2 linked regions of the Drosophila melanogaster genome follow. The protein of the gene in region 2 interacts with the protein of the main gene of each other region in a pairwise test. Each region holds a gene or a part of one and is shown on either strand. Other genes may lie near its edges. The genes, in order: BOD1 and CCT2.

What was found.
Region 1: the proteins of CCT2 (region 2) and BOD1 interact in a two-hybrid assay, tested with the Drosophila melanogaster proteins (one large-scale study listed by BioGRID).

What each region holds. Positions count from the first base shown.
Region 1 is NT_033777.3:27,936,922-27,943,570, reverse strand, and holds BOD1 (biorientation defective 1), read right to left. Parts: upstream 5,010-6,649; 5' UTR 4,877-5,009; coding exon 4,653-4,876; intron 4,595-4,652; coding exon 3,924-4,594; intron 3,865-3,923; coding exon 1,438-3,864; intron 1,137-1,437; coding exon of another isoform or gene 1,129-1,136; exon of another isoform or gene 987-1,128; coding exon 853-986; 3' UTR 793-852; downstream 1-792. Other genes in the region: NSD (nuclear receptor binding SET domain protein), read left to right, coding at 5,822-6,140, 6,234-6,649.
Region 2 is NC_004354.4:9,087,566-9,093,506, reverse strand, and holds CCT2 (chaperonin containing TCP1 subunit 2), read right to left. Parts: upstream 3,995-5,941; 5' UTR 3,912-3,994; coding exon 3,909-3,911; intron 3,020-3,908; coding exon 2,330-3,019; intron 2,278-2,329; exon of another isoform or gene 2,208-2,277; intron 2,098-2,207; coding exon 1,470-2,097; intron 1,398-1,469; coding exon 1,111-1,397; 3' UTR 681-1,110; downstream 1-680. Other genes in the region: CG6999 (uncharacterized protein), read right to left, coding at 4,262-4,668, 4,742-5,036; CG32706 (uncharacterized protein), read right to left, coding at 5,498-5,895.

The sequences.
Region 1 (6,649 bases), on a different chromosome or scaffold from region 2:
ATTCTTGTTAAAAGTATATGCTAATGATGATACTGTATCTATGTTACTTTGAAATGAGATAACCTTCTTGTAAAATACTATTACCTATGTATTACAACCTTTGATTTACAACAATTATATATATATTTTTTTTAAACAATTTTCAAATGATATACGCATATACATACATATATTTATGTTGATCGTTGTAAAGTAATCAAGAGCAAAAATGTAAAGCACACGCTCGCGCGGCAGAAGGAAAAATTCAATAATTTGTAATCAAATTACAGCCGAAATCTTCAAACTGAGATGTTACAAAATATAAGGAACAGCAGATACAGCAGAAAACAGCTCCCAGAGAACTACGTCTCCCCCAGACCTACAATGCCCCATAATCTACACCCGGTACTATAACTAACCAGCCCCATGTAGAGAGCCGTAGCCTAGCTATGTCCATTGTCCTTGCTCCACGCACTCGACTGTTTCGATCTATCATCACACATTATCCTCGTCTCAGTGCTAGAGTTCCACATCCTTGAGTAGCAGACGCAGTTGAGTGCCGGGGATCAAGGCTAGTGGATCGCCCAAAATATACAATAATGCATCATATTATTACGTTCACTGTTATTTTTGTTTATATATATGCATAATATATATGGATATGCTGCACCGGCGACTATTAAACTGTAAGGTGTAGCGCTAAATTACAATTTTATTGTTAAAGAATTCAAACGAAAAAAAAACAAGCGGAAGCAAAACCATTGGCAAGCGAAATGGCCCATTAAACGGATGAAAGAAACGAAGACTTGTTTTATGTCAAATGCATTAACAACAATTGCCTTTTATTGTTTCCGATAACAGGTTATCCGTTGGCTAGAGAATGGAGTCCAGGCCCCGGCGACGAGAGCGCTGCGACAGGATTGGACGGGGCTTGTAGAGATCATCGTTGGTGTACCGCTGCTGCTGGCAGAGCTTCTTGCTGAGTCGCCTGGCGGACAGGGCGTCTGCTGATAAAAACAAGCACTTTAGTCACACGCATTCACGGGAATCGCTCGAAGCATCAACAATCGGCGGGCAAAGGACAGAGAATCGCGCGGGAACCGCTTACCCAGCTCCATTGCGGTTTGGTTAGGACTACTAGTGGTGGCTTCATACAGCTACATATTATGTATATTAGTTAACAATGCGGATGCGTGTGGGGGAGAAAATAGAGGCGGTAAAGAAGAATATTGAGGATGAGCATGAGAACAGAGATGTATGTATGTAGATCACATTCGCAGGGTGGATCGATTTGTGTTAATTATAGACTTTATTATCAATTTTTACTTGATTTTCACTAAACGTTAAGACATACGACAATTCAATTGCATCGATCCACCCTTTGTGAGAGTTAGCAAAAGAGAGATTCGAGGAACAAATGCTACACCAAATGAAACTTAGCAATGATACAGTACGCACCATGCTCCTGCTTCTCCAGTGCCTCGTTCTCCTTCGAGTTTATGCTGGCGTCAGATGGTGTTGGCGATGACTTGGGCTCGTCCTGTCGCAGTCTCTTTGCCGGACTGCCGGCGGTGCTGCTGCTGCTCGGACTTCTAGGCTGCGGCGGTGTCGTTTCCCGCTCCACTCGATGCTGCTCCTGCATGCTGCTCCGTCTTCGCTTGGAGAGGCTGCGTCGCAAGGCACGTATATCCACTGCCTCCTCCTGTGTTCCATCCTCACTTAACCTGTTAAGCAAATTCTTTCGATCCTCTATCAGTTGATTGATGAGCTGCAGACGCGTCCTAAACTCGTCTGTGTTTTCTTCGAAGTGGGTCACAAAGTCGGCACTAAATTCGTCGCTTTGCTCATTCGAGATTGGGACTGGTGTGGCGGGTTTGTCAGCATCTTGCGGTGGATCCTCCACATCGCCGACTTGAGCAGGTTCGTCGACGCACTCTTCGGGAGGATTTTCCGGTTTGCTCTCCTCTTCTGACTTATTCTCTTCGACATTGGTCTCTACCTTTTCGTCTTCCAATGTATCCATGCTTTCCTTGGCTGGCAAATCGGGAACGGAGTCAGCTAAAGTTTGAGGTTCTACAGTTGGCACTTCATTCTGCGAAGCACACTCGTCTTGCCTTGCCTCCAATTCTGTTTTTTCCGGCTGATTATCCGCCTCTTTTCCGTCTATATCTTCGGGTTCATGCTTACTGCTCTCCGCTCTGTCATGCGATTGGGATCCAGCGGTCAGTTCAACAAAACTGCTCGTCGATTGCTGCAGGATGTCGCTCACGATGACAACACCGCTGACATTGTCGCAAGCACCATTGGTGCTGCCGTTGGAGTTTCCATTCGTGCCGTTAGCATTCTCCACGGGCGCATCTGATTTCATTGTAGCTGCTGAATCCTCCGGCTGGGAGTTCTTGGCCGGACCACCAGAACTTGGAGGCTTCCCCTCGTCGTTTGAGTCGGAACCCCGACGCTGCTTATACTTTTCTTTGCTCTCGCTATGATCATCGTGGATAGCCTTGTTCTCTGCACTGCCAGAAGTGTTTGATTTGTTACGATCACGATCGCGGCCTCGGTCGTGATCTTTTCTCCTTGACGACGACGAGGAACTGCTACTGCTGTGGTGGCTGCGACTTTGGCTGTCCTTTTCCCTTTCCTTATCCTTCTCCTTGCCTTTATCTCGTTCCGATCGCGAGGATGATGAACTGGACTTGTGTTTTTTGTGTGAGGAAGATTCGTGGCGTGATGAAGAAGTGGTTCCCGAGCGCTTGGATGACGACGACTCTCGATTACTCCGGCTAGATGAACTTGAGGAGCTCTTATCGTTCTTGGAGCTACTACTCTTATGCTTCGAGCTGGAGGAGTTCGATGAGGAGTGCTTCGAGCTGGAACTCGAGGAATGCTTGCTGTGCGATTTGTCGCGACTACGATCGCGGTCCCGATCTGTGCTCCTTCGCCGGTGTTTGTCATCTGAGTGCCTGTGGTGTCGCCGATCCTTTTCCTTTTCCTTATCCCTAGACTTCGAATGGCTTTTTGATTGCGAGGACGTGGATGTTGGCGACTCCGTGGACTCAGACGCTGTGCTAACAGCGTCTTTTGGTGCATCCAATCCAAGCTCTAGGGGTTTATCTTGCTTGTCTTCAGTTGTTGCTGGTTGCTCATCTTCTTTGACATCCGTGTTTACATTGTGTGGTTTATCCCGAGTTTCCGACTCCTTGGGTGTCACGGCCAGCTCTGTGATGAATCCATTACTACCTTTCGCCCTTCGGGGCGTTATAGCTGCCTCAGCTTTTGGTGGGGCTGGCGGAGGAGGAAGCTCGACTTTCGGTGGTGCTGGAGGAGGAGGTGGTTCAAGTTCTGTGGGTGCCGGTGGAGGAGGTGGTTCAACTTCAGCTGGTGCCGGTGGAGGAGGTGGTTCAACTTTAGTTGGTGCTGGTGGTGGTGGTGGCGGCGGTTCAACTGTAGGTGGTGCTGGTGGTGGTGGTGGCGGTGGCTCAACTGTAGGTGGTGCTGGGGGTGGCGGTGGCTTAATTGTTGGTGGTGCTGGTGGTGGCGGTGGCACAAGTGTTGGTGGTGCTGGTGGTGGCGGTGGCTCAATTGTATGTGGTGGAGGTGGATCAAAACGAGGTGACGCTGGTGGTTGGGGCCCTGGCGGCGACTCAACTCCTGGTGGTGCCGGCGGAGGAGGCTCTACTTTTGGCGAGGCTGGCCGCGGAGGAGGAGGCGGATTAACTTTCGGCGGTGCTGGCACTTGTACAGGCTCCGGTGCTATAGACTCAATACTGGCATTGTTGGCGTCGTCTATGTTTGCCTTCACCTCCGACATGATCTCATCCTCGATGGAAAGAATTTGGAGGCCTGTGCTAGTCGTCTCCGACACCGAGTTCTTTCGCTCAGTACCTGCACGAAAAAGAAATCGTAGAAGTTAAATAACCCATCGTGGCGCCCGGCAAACCCACCTTCGAAGGTAATGGCATCCTGTTTGATGTCGAAGTGAAGCTGTCGACCTTCGCTTCGGCCTGTTCCCGCACTAGCATCCCAAGAGTTTTCGCTGAACTTTGGCATTTGCGCTTCCTCGCAAATGTTCTCTGGCTCCCCACTGTTGTGAGCTGCTGTGTGCTGGTGGCTATCAACCATGGACTCCGTGGACGACGCCATGGTCAGGCGGCTGTCACTGGAAACCTGCGAAAGTTGCGACGCCTGGGAGACGCCGTTCACCGAATCCGAGTTATTCAACGAAACGTTGTTCAGCTCCTCCTTGATGGCAAGTGTTTTCCGCTCGCTCACTAGCTCGTAGGATGGCGAAGTGTCCTCGTCGTCTACACCGGGCGGAAGTTCGTCATCCCTCGACTCCGACTTGACGGTAGCCCGATCGGAGTCTGGACTTATCTGCTCCAGGTCCGTGGGCAGCAGACCAACCGTGGTCTCCACATTGAGCAGGCTGCTGCCGTTCAAGTGGGCACCAAATGGCGGCAAAGGCGGAGCTGACAGCATAGTGGGTCGCGCAGGTGGTGTGATGCCCAGGTACTTGTAGACAATGCTCTCGATCTTTGGCTCGAATATGGTAGCCACCTTGGGATTGACCACCTGGTCCACGATTTGGTCCACTCCCTTGTCCAGGACATCGGAGCTGAAACAGTCGATGTGATTACCCCAGGTTACCCAAGCCCCGCCAGAAGCATACTCACTCCATAAGGTGCTTGCGCAGCCTCTCTCGCAGCTGGACCTTGTTGGTCTCGGGCGTCCATTGCTGCTTGGCCAGAAAATCGTTGACCGCCGTCTCCACCTGGGTGCGCACATTCTGGTAGGCGGGCTTCGTGTCCACGTCCGCCAGGCAGCAGTTGAATCGGAATTCGTCGAAGACGCCCTGCGACTTCACCTCGGCAATCAGTGTCTTGATAAAGTCGTCCATGCTCCTTGGCCCTTGTTATTCGTGTGCTTTTGCTTGCCGCAACACCCGTGAGTGCCGAGGAAATCCAGGATAAACGTCGAGTTTGTCTTTACATGCGTTTACATGTATGTACATATGTTTACGCTAGGGATGGCCGCCCCACGTGAGTTTCGCCCTGATTGGATCCGGGCGTCGTGCGTGAGCGGTAGCTATGCCAACTTCTCAGTTTTACTAGCCAAATTTGACGAATTGCAGATACAGATACATTTTTACTTTTGAGTTATGAATGAAAGAATAATAAAGTATAGAAATATTTGTGCCACCGAGTTTTTACCTTTAAAGCCAAGTTGCATTTAATCAGCTATACATTAAGAACTTAAATGTTCATATTAATGTAAAATTCAGGTATTCACGTTGTTTTCGGTAAGGTGAAAGAATTGAGTTAAAGTTAAAATATTTAGTTTTGGAAAACAACAATACATGGCAGTATCTGTTAACTCCGAATAACTATTATAAAAACAATCTGTAACGAAGTCCCCTGGCCAGTGTAGTACCTCAGTCGTGGCTAAGGAACCTTTTCAAAAAATTTATATAGAAGGTTTAGAAACCTGTAGTTAGAAATTTGTATTGGATGACGTGCCTGAGAGCGAATAAAAGAACACCCCGCGGCGCTTATGATTTAGTTCAAAAATTATTATAAAAATTATTATTAATTATATAACTATACTATAAGTAAAAGAAAACACTTCGCCTCACTGTGCATTACGGTGCGAATCTTGGCTAAGTATAATCGATAGGAATGTGTGACGCCTATCTTTCAGCGATCGTATCGATGGATCGATAGCTACCGCGATGCCCACGGTTGCAGTCGAAGTTTTGGCGCAAGCGAAGCCTCTGTGTTCTTAGAAATTGTCGAATTAACGGTAGTGTTTAATTGACGAGAGCGCGATTAAACTGGACCGCAGAATGAAGCTGAGCACGGACGCGCACTCCGAGATCGAGGGCGACGCTGCCCACGGCAATGTGCTGTGCAACTCCGCGTCCGATTCCCTGACCGCCACCGACGAAGTGGCTGCGGGCAACGACGAGTCGGTGGCCACCGAAGGCGATGATGTCGAAATTCCGAGGGACACCAACAACAGCACTCCGGTTCGACTGCTGGACAAGCCCGGCCAAAACCCGGTGCAGAACGGCGCACAGCCCGCGGCGGAGGAGTCGGAGCTGGAGAGTCAGCGGCAGACGCCAGTCCAAAAACAGCAACAACAGCGTGTGTCCATGGTGAACAGTAAGTGTAACAATGGCGCAATATACCCCGCCGTATGCCGTCCATATGCTAATATATCTGCTTTTGTGTGTGCGCCTGTGTGTGCTGCTTTAGGGAAACGAGATCTTATCAACTTGCAGTCGGCGCTGAGCCCCAAATATATTGGCTATGCCAATGCCAACTCACCCACGCCGCTTTCCGATTCCGATGACACAATACGCACGACGAGGCGACGCGTTAACCAAGCGGCGGCTTTAAATAACAGCAGTGCTGGCGAGACCCTGGCCCATGATAATGCGTCACCAAGGACCCCCGGGGGAGGAGGAGGAGGTGGTGGAGATGATAGCGCTAATCAGCTGCTCAGCAAGACCTACATGAGCCCCATCGAGAAGCTGCTAATCAAAAACGGCGCTAGTTCGCCCAACAGCACCGGTTTCGAGGCGGGCTCCGAGGACCTGGGCATACGGCCAATCGTTCGCAAGCACGTAAAGCGCAAAATGAAAAGAGTGCCGAAGGCGAAAGTAACCCTC
Region 2 (5,941 bases):
ATAATGGTCCAAATGTGGAATGTTATGCCTCGTTGAGCTCGTAATTAAATTTCCAATCAAACTGTGTTCAAAAATGGAAATTCTATTTTTTGGCCATTTTTTGCAAATTTTGATGCGAATTTACAAAAGATGCGAAAATTTGGACAAAAATTAATTTTCCTAAATCCTTCAAAATGTGACATTGGTCGTTAGCATTGGTAACTAGCTGCTCAAAACAGTTATTCTTTCATTTTTACGATCATTTTTAGCCAAGTTATGAGGAAAATTCCGTTTGAAAATATCAACATTTTGGCAAAATCCGTTTTTCCGAATTTCGGCCATCAAATAATCAGTTTTTTTGCCACAAAATTAAAAATAATTGTCTGAATATGGAATGTCATACTTCGTTGAGCTCGTAATTAAATTTCCAAACGAACTGAGCTAAAAAATGGCAATTATATTTTTTGGCCATTTTTTGTAAATTTTGATGATGTTACCCCTTACAAAAAATGAGAAATTTGACCAAAAAATTAATTTTCCCAAATCGGCTGAAAAGTGGCGTGGGTCGAAAACATTGGTTCTCCAGTGCTCAGAAATGTTACTCTTTTCGCTTTATGATCATTTTAAGCCAAGTTATGTTTAAAAAAAGCTCATAAAAATTCGGGAAATAATTGTGGTCCAAATAAGAAGGCAGTTTGTTTAGTTTTGTTAAGCATAAATATATGATTTATCATTTATTCCTTTTTTTTTTCTGTTTAATGGTCTTCAATTTGCGCACATCAAATGTTTACAACAATTGTATTCATTTACAAGTTCGTTTAGTTGTCGGTTTGATGGAGTTTTAGACATTTTTGAAATGTTTTGGTTTGATCGCAGCACTCATCCTCGAATCAAAAGCTCAGCTTGCAACATCATATCAATTTGTTTCACAATTAAGTAGAAGGATTACACGACAGGGACAAATTTAGCGAGAAATTGTGCGACTTTGAGAGTGGGACGTGTGATATAATTGCTAATGTGTTGTGTGTGGATTATTAGTGTAGTAAACAGAACGTGTAAGGTTAGCGATGATGTTAAACGAGAGTTCATAATTAAAAAAAATATGATCCTAGAACAAGAATACTTAAGCGCCTAGCAGTAGCCCCTGTCGGGAACGCGTCGGCGTGGAGCGCAACGGATGATGTTGTCCACGCGCAAGATCATCTCGGCAGCCTCCGAGGCGGACATCAGAACTTGGCGCTTAACGGCGAACGACTCGGTGATGCCCAGTTCACGGACATCGGCCACCTTGCCCAGCTCCATGTCCAGACCCAGAGTCTGTTTGCCCTGGGCGTGGCCGGCACGCAGCTCCGAAACCAGTTGGGCTGAATCGTAGCCAGCATTGTCGGCAATGGCCGTGGGCAGGGACAGCAGAGCGCCTGTAATACGAATAATAAAAGCATTTCATTAGGAGCCATCTCCAGCATATGATGTGGATTTCAGCGACTTACGGGCAAAGGCCTCGATAGCGATGGCCTCCTTGCCGGGTGTCTCGGCTGCCTTCTTCAGCACGGCGGTGGCCATTAGAGCCTCGGAGCAGCCGCCACCGAAAATGATGCGCGACTCCTTGACGGTGGCCGCCAGCACGCAGAGGGCGTCGTGCAGGGAACGATCAGCCTCGTCCAGAATCTGTTGGGTAGCACCGCGGATCACGATGGTGCAGGCCTCGCCCAGCTTAACGCCGCTAAAACGCAACAGCGTATCCTCGCCGATCATCACCTGTTCGATGACATCGCATTCGCCAAGCTTCACCAGCGAGGGATTCTCAAAGGTGGAGACAATCTCGCCGCCGGTGCAATACGCCAGACGCTCGATGCCATCGAAATCGGCATGCTCGATGGACATTACACGGGCATCGGCAAACAGCTGCTCCGGATAGTTGTAGATCAATTGCCGGTTGATGAACACGTTGCACTTGTGCTTCAGGATCTTGTCCACCTTTTCCTTCATCTTCTCCTTCTCGGCCATCTCCAGGTCGGCGATCTTGGCCAGCGAATCGACCTTGATGCTGCTGCCGAACACCTTAATCTTATCGGTGTCCATGGGCGTGTTGGCAATCAGGATTCTGGCATTCTCAATCTGCGATGGAGAAGAGCACCCATGTATGAGATCATGAGATTCTTTTACTTGGTCTTGAAAGACTCACTTGCACGCGCAACATTTCCACGTTGATGAGGCTGGCTGTCCAACAAACTCGTCAAAATGGCTGTGATATGAAGTCAAATCCACATAGCTCACAGTCATTTTGACGCGTTAATAGACAGCAGAGGTAGACGATGTTTAGCACGATGGAACTGGAAACATTACTTACACGCTGTGGCTGGTGCACGCCGGGCTTCTTGTCCAGCAGGAAGCCCTCGTCCAGGAACGAGTCTCCCAGTGTGCCGCCCGATTTCTTGATGATCTGTATGGACTTGAGCTCGCCGGAGCCCTTCAGACGCATCACAGCATCCACCGCCAGATTGGCGAAGAAGTCTTTGTGCTGGTGCAGGATCTTCGAGGAGAGCGTGGTGCGGGCAATGTTCAGCAGGTCGTTGCGGAACTTCTCGTCACTGGACGAGTTGTCCTGAGCGGCGGCGGTGAGCGCCTCCAGTGCCACCTGGGTGGCCTGACGCCAGCCAGAGACGATGATCTGTGGGTGCAGCTTCTGTTCGACTAGTTTCTCCGCCTCGCGCAGCAGTTCCGATGCCAGAACGGTGACCGAGGTGGTGCCATCGCCCACTTCCTCGTCCTGCACACGCGACATATCGACCAGAATCTTGGCGGCCGGATTGTCTACACCGACGGCACGCAGAATGGTGGCACCATCGTTGGTCACCTCAACATGACCGGCGTTGCGTCCGGTGGCCACCAGGATCTTGTCCATACCCTTCGGACCCAGCGTGCTCTTTACCAGATCACCAATGGCGATGGCACCAATGAACGAGGACAGACGGGCCATCTCGGCCTTCTCCTCCTGCGCCTCATTCTTGAGCACGCGCACGGGATTCAAGGACATCTCCTGCAAGACAAAACGCGATCAATTGGTGTGAATCATTTCGATTGATTGTATAAATTTTCTAAGAAGGGCACATTTCTTGAGACTTAATTTAATTACAAAAATGGCATGACTTTTTTTTAGCGTAGATCTTATGGAGGATTAATCATCAGAAGCAAGTAAAGCTAATTCATAATTACTATTCATGCAGGAAATTATATTATAGCTTTTTTTGCGAAATAAAATTTTTTTTTTAACATTTAATAATTTAGCATAATGAAAAAGTGATATGATGCCAAGATGACATTGCAAAACACCATTATGATATTCTCATCGACAGATCAAGAATGCTATCTTGACAATGGCAGGCGGCTGCCCAATATGTTGCAATTTCTGGCGAGGATTGTCTGTTGGCATGGCCAAATCCGCAGTCACTGCAAACCAGATGCGTTTGTGATGCGAAAATATTCAAAATGTATATGTATTCTATGTCAGATTGTTATGGTTTTTCGCTCTGTGCAGCCATATCGCCTCGACCTAACCCCAAAAAGTGGCGGACGAGGGAGAGCGGCGCCGAGTGATTCATCGGCAGCAAAAACGGCGTGGAATGCATCTCGAAGGTTCTCAGCCAGCTGCCCGAGCCGATCCCGGCCAGCAATCTAGTGATAGCTCCAATTCACCCAGATCCCGTGGACAGCAGGAGAAGGTTCTGGAAGTGGCAGGCGAAATCGGAGTCCATGGCTCACGTGCAAGCCGCCTGTCAAAATGGCTTGCGCTTCGTTCACACACACACCCGGCAAATGAAAACGCCGAATTGGCCACAATTATCAATGAAAAGTGGGCGAATTCACGCAACGCCAATAGCCCGCACCGTAAACTACTCGAATAATATAGTTGTTACTTTTAAATTTACCATTTTCTCTGCGTAATTAGTCGATTTGTGATCACAGAATTTTCAAATACCACACGGGCGCAACAAAGCGACAAAGAAAATGGAGACAGTCGATGGCTGTTATCGATAACGCGCGGCTATCGGGTAGAAATACCGACAACGGAAAGGTGCTAACGCCTGCATGAACTTAAATACCAAAAATAGTGTTGACACAAACCAGCACTCGAAAGTTTTGCAGTTATCGATATGCAATGCAGGGGCGCTTATTTCAAATAATTTTGCGCGCCTAAATATTAAAAGATTTTGATTTGATTTACTTTATTGAAGTATATTTGCAGTCAGGTAGACATTGGAAGCAAAGGTCTAGCGTGAACTCAGGCAGACTTCTTCAATTTCTTGGCAGCCATCTCCGCTTTCTTGGCAGCCATCTCCGCATTCCTGGTAGCCATCTCCGCTTCCTTGACCTTCTTCATCTTCTTCATCTTCTTCACTTGCTTCTTGAAATACTCCATCTGGTCGGGATCGTACCAGAAGGTGGCCCGCTTGCGGGCCTGCGACCATACGCGAACTTTGCAAACCGCCAGCTCGTAGTCCATGCGATCGGTTAGATAGTACCACTTGAAGCGTGGCAGGAACTTCATTTTCCACAGCAAGCCACGGAATCGGGACGACTTGCCATCGGTTATAGGCTTATTGTTCAGCTCTAGAGCGATTTTTTTGGCCCCACTTTTCGAAATGAACTCCACCCAGCCCTTACGCATGTTCTTCTTTGTCTTGAAACCTAAAGTAATTGAGATAAAAGTTTATACTGGGTAATCAGTGGGTCATTTGTGCATGCCACTTGGTCCACTCACTTGACAGCGTTTCCGGCTGCACGTAAACTCTGCCGACGACGCTGTGCAAGTTCATGATTTCCTTCAGGCAGTCCCCGTCCATGTCCTTGGGTATGTTGGATATTAAGATGACGCCTACCTTGTGCATCTTCTCGCGTTTCTTCTCGGGGGCCCAGGAATTGAAGGTGGCTTTGAAATTGGCCAGCTCCTTTTTATCGTCATTTGAGGGATTTGCTATCCCATTTGCAGACTCACCTTCCTTTGTCTGCGGCTTACCCCAGCGCGCCTCGTCTAGCTTAGTCTCCTCCACTTTCATGGAAGTGGACTTGCGCTTTGGCTTTGATGTATTAATTATTTTTTTCATTGTAGCTTTCGTTTTAGCTGGATCGAATATATTTTGTAATGTACGCAATCAGGTATGACAGTTGACAGGCGATGTCAGTTGACGTTTTTATCGAAGAGCTATCGATGTGTTGGTACCCTTTCATTAGAAAAGCATATCGCTTTAAAAACACTTTGTAACAGAACATTTGATTTACTCAGCCCTATTTTAATCGAGAAATCTTAACCATCCCTGTGCGTTACAGTGGCCTCCTTCAGCTTGAGTAGCTGAAGTAGCATTAACACGCACACACAATCGGCGAAATTATCGATATGCAGGGGCCCTAATTTCAAATAATTTTGCGCGCCTAATTATTTAAAGATTTTGATTTGATTTACTTAATTGAAGTATATTTGCAGTCAGGTAGACATTGGAAGCAAAGGTCTAGCGTGAACTCAGGCAGACTTCTTCAATTTCTTGGCAGCCATCTCCGCTTTCTTGGCAGCCATCTCCGCATTCCTGGTAGCCATCTCCGCTTTCTTGACCTTCTTCATCTTCTTCACTTGCTTCTTGAAATACTCCATCTGGTCGGGATCGTACAAGAAGGTGGCCCGCTTGCGGGCCTGCGACCATACGCGAACTTTGCAAACCGCCAGCTCGTAGTCCATGCGATCGGTTAGATAGTACCACTTGAAGCGTGGCAGGAACTTCATTTTCCACAGCAAGCCACGGAATCGGGACGACTTGCCATCGGTTATAGGCTTATTGTTCAGCTCTAGAGCGATTTTTTTGGCCCCACTTTTCGAAATGAACTCCACCCAGCCCTTACGCATGTTCTTCTTTGTCTTGAAACCTAAAGTAATTGAGATAAAAGTTTATACTGGGTAATCAGTGGGTCA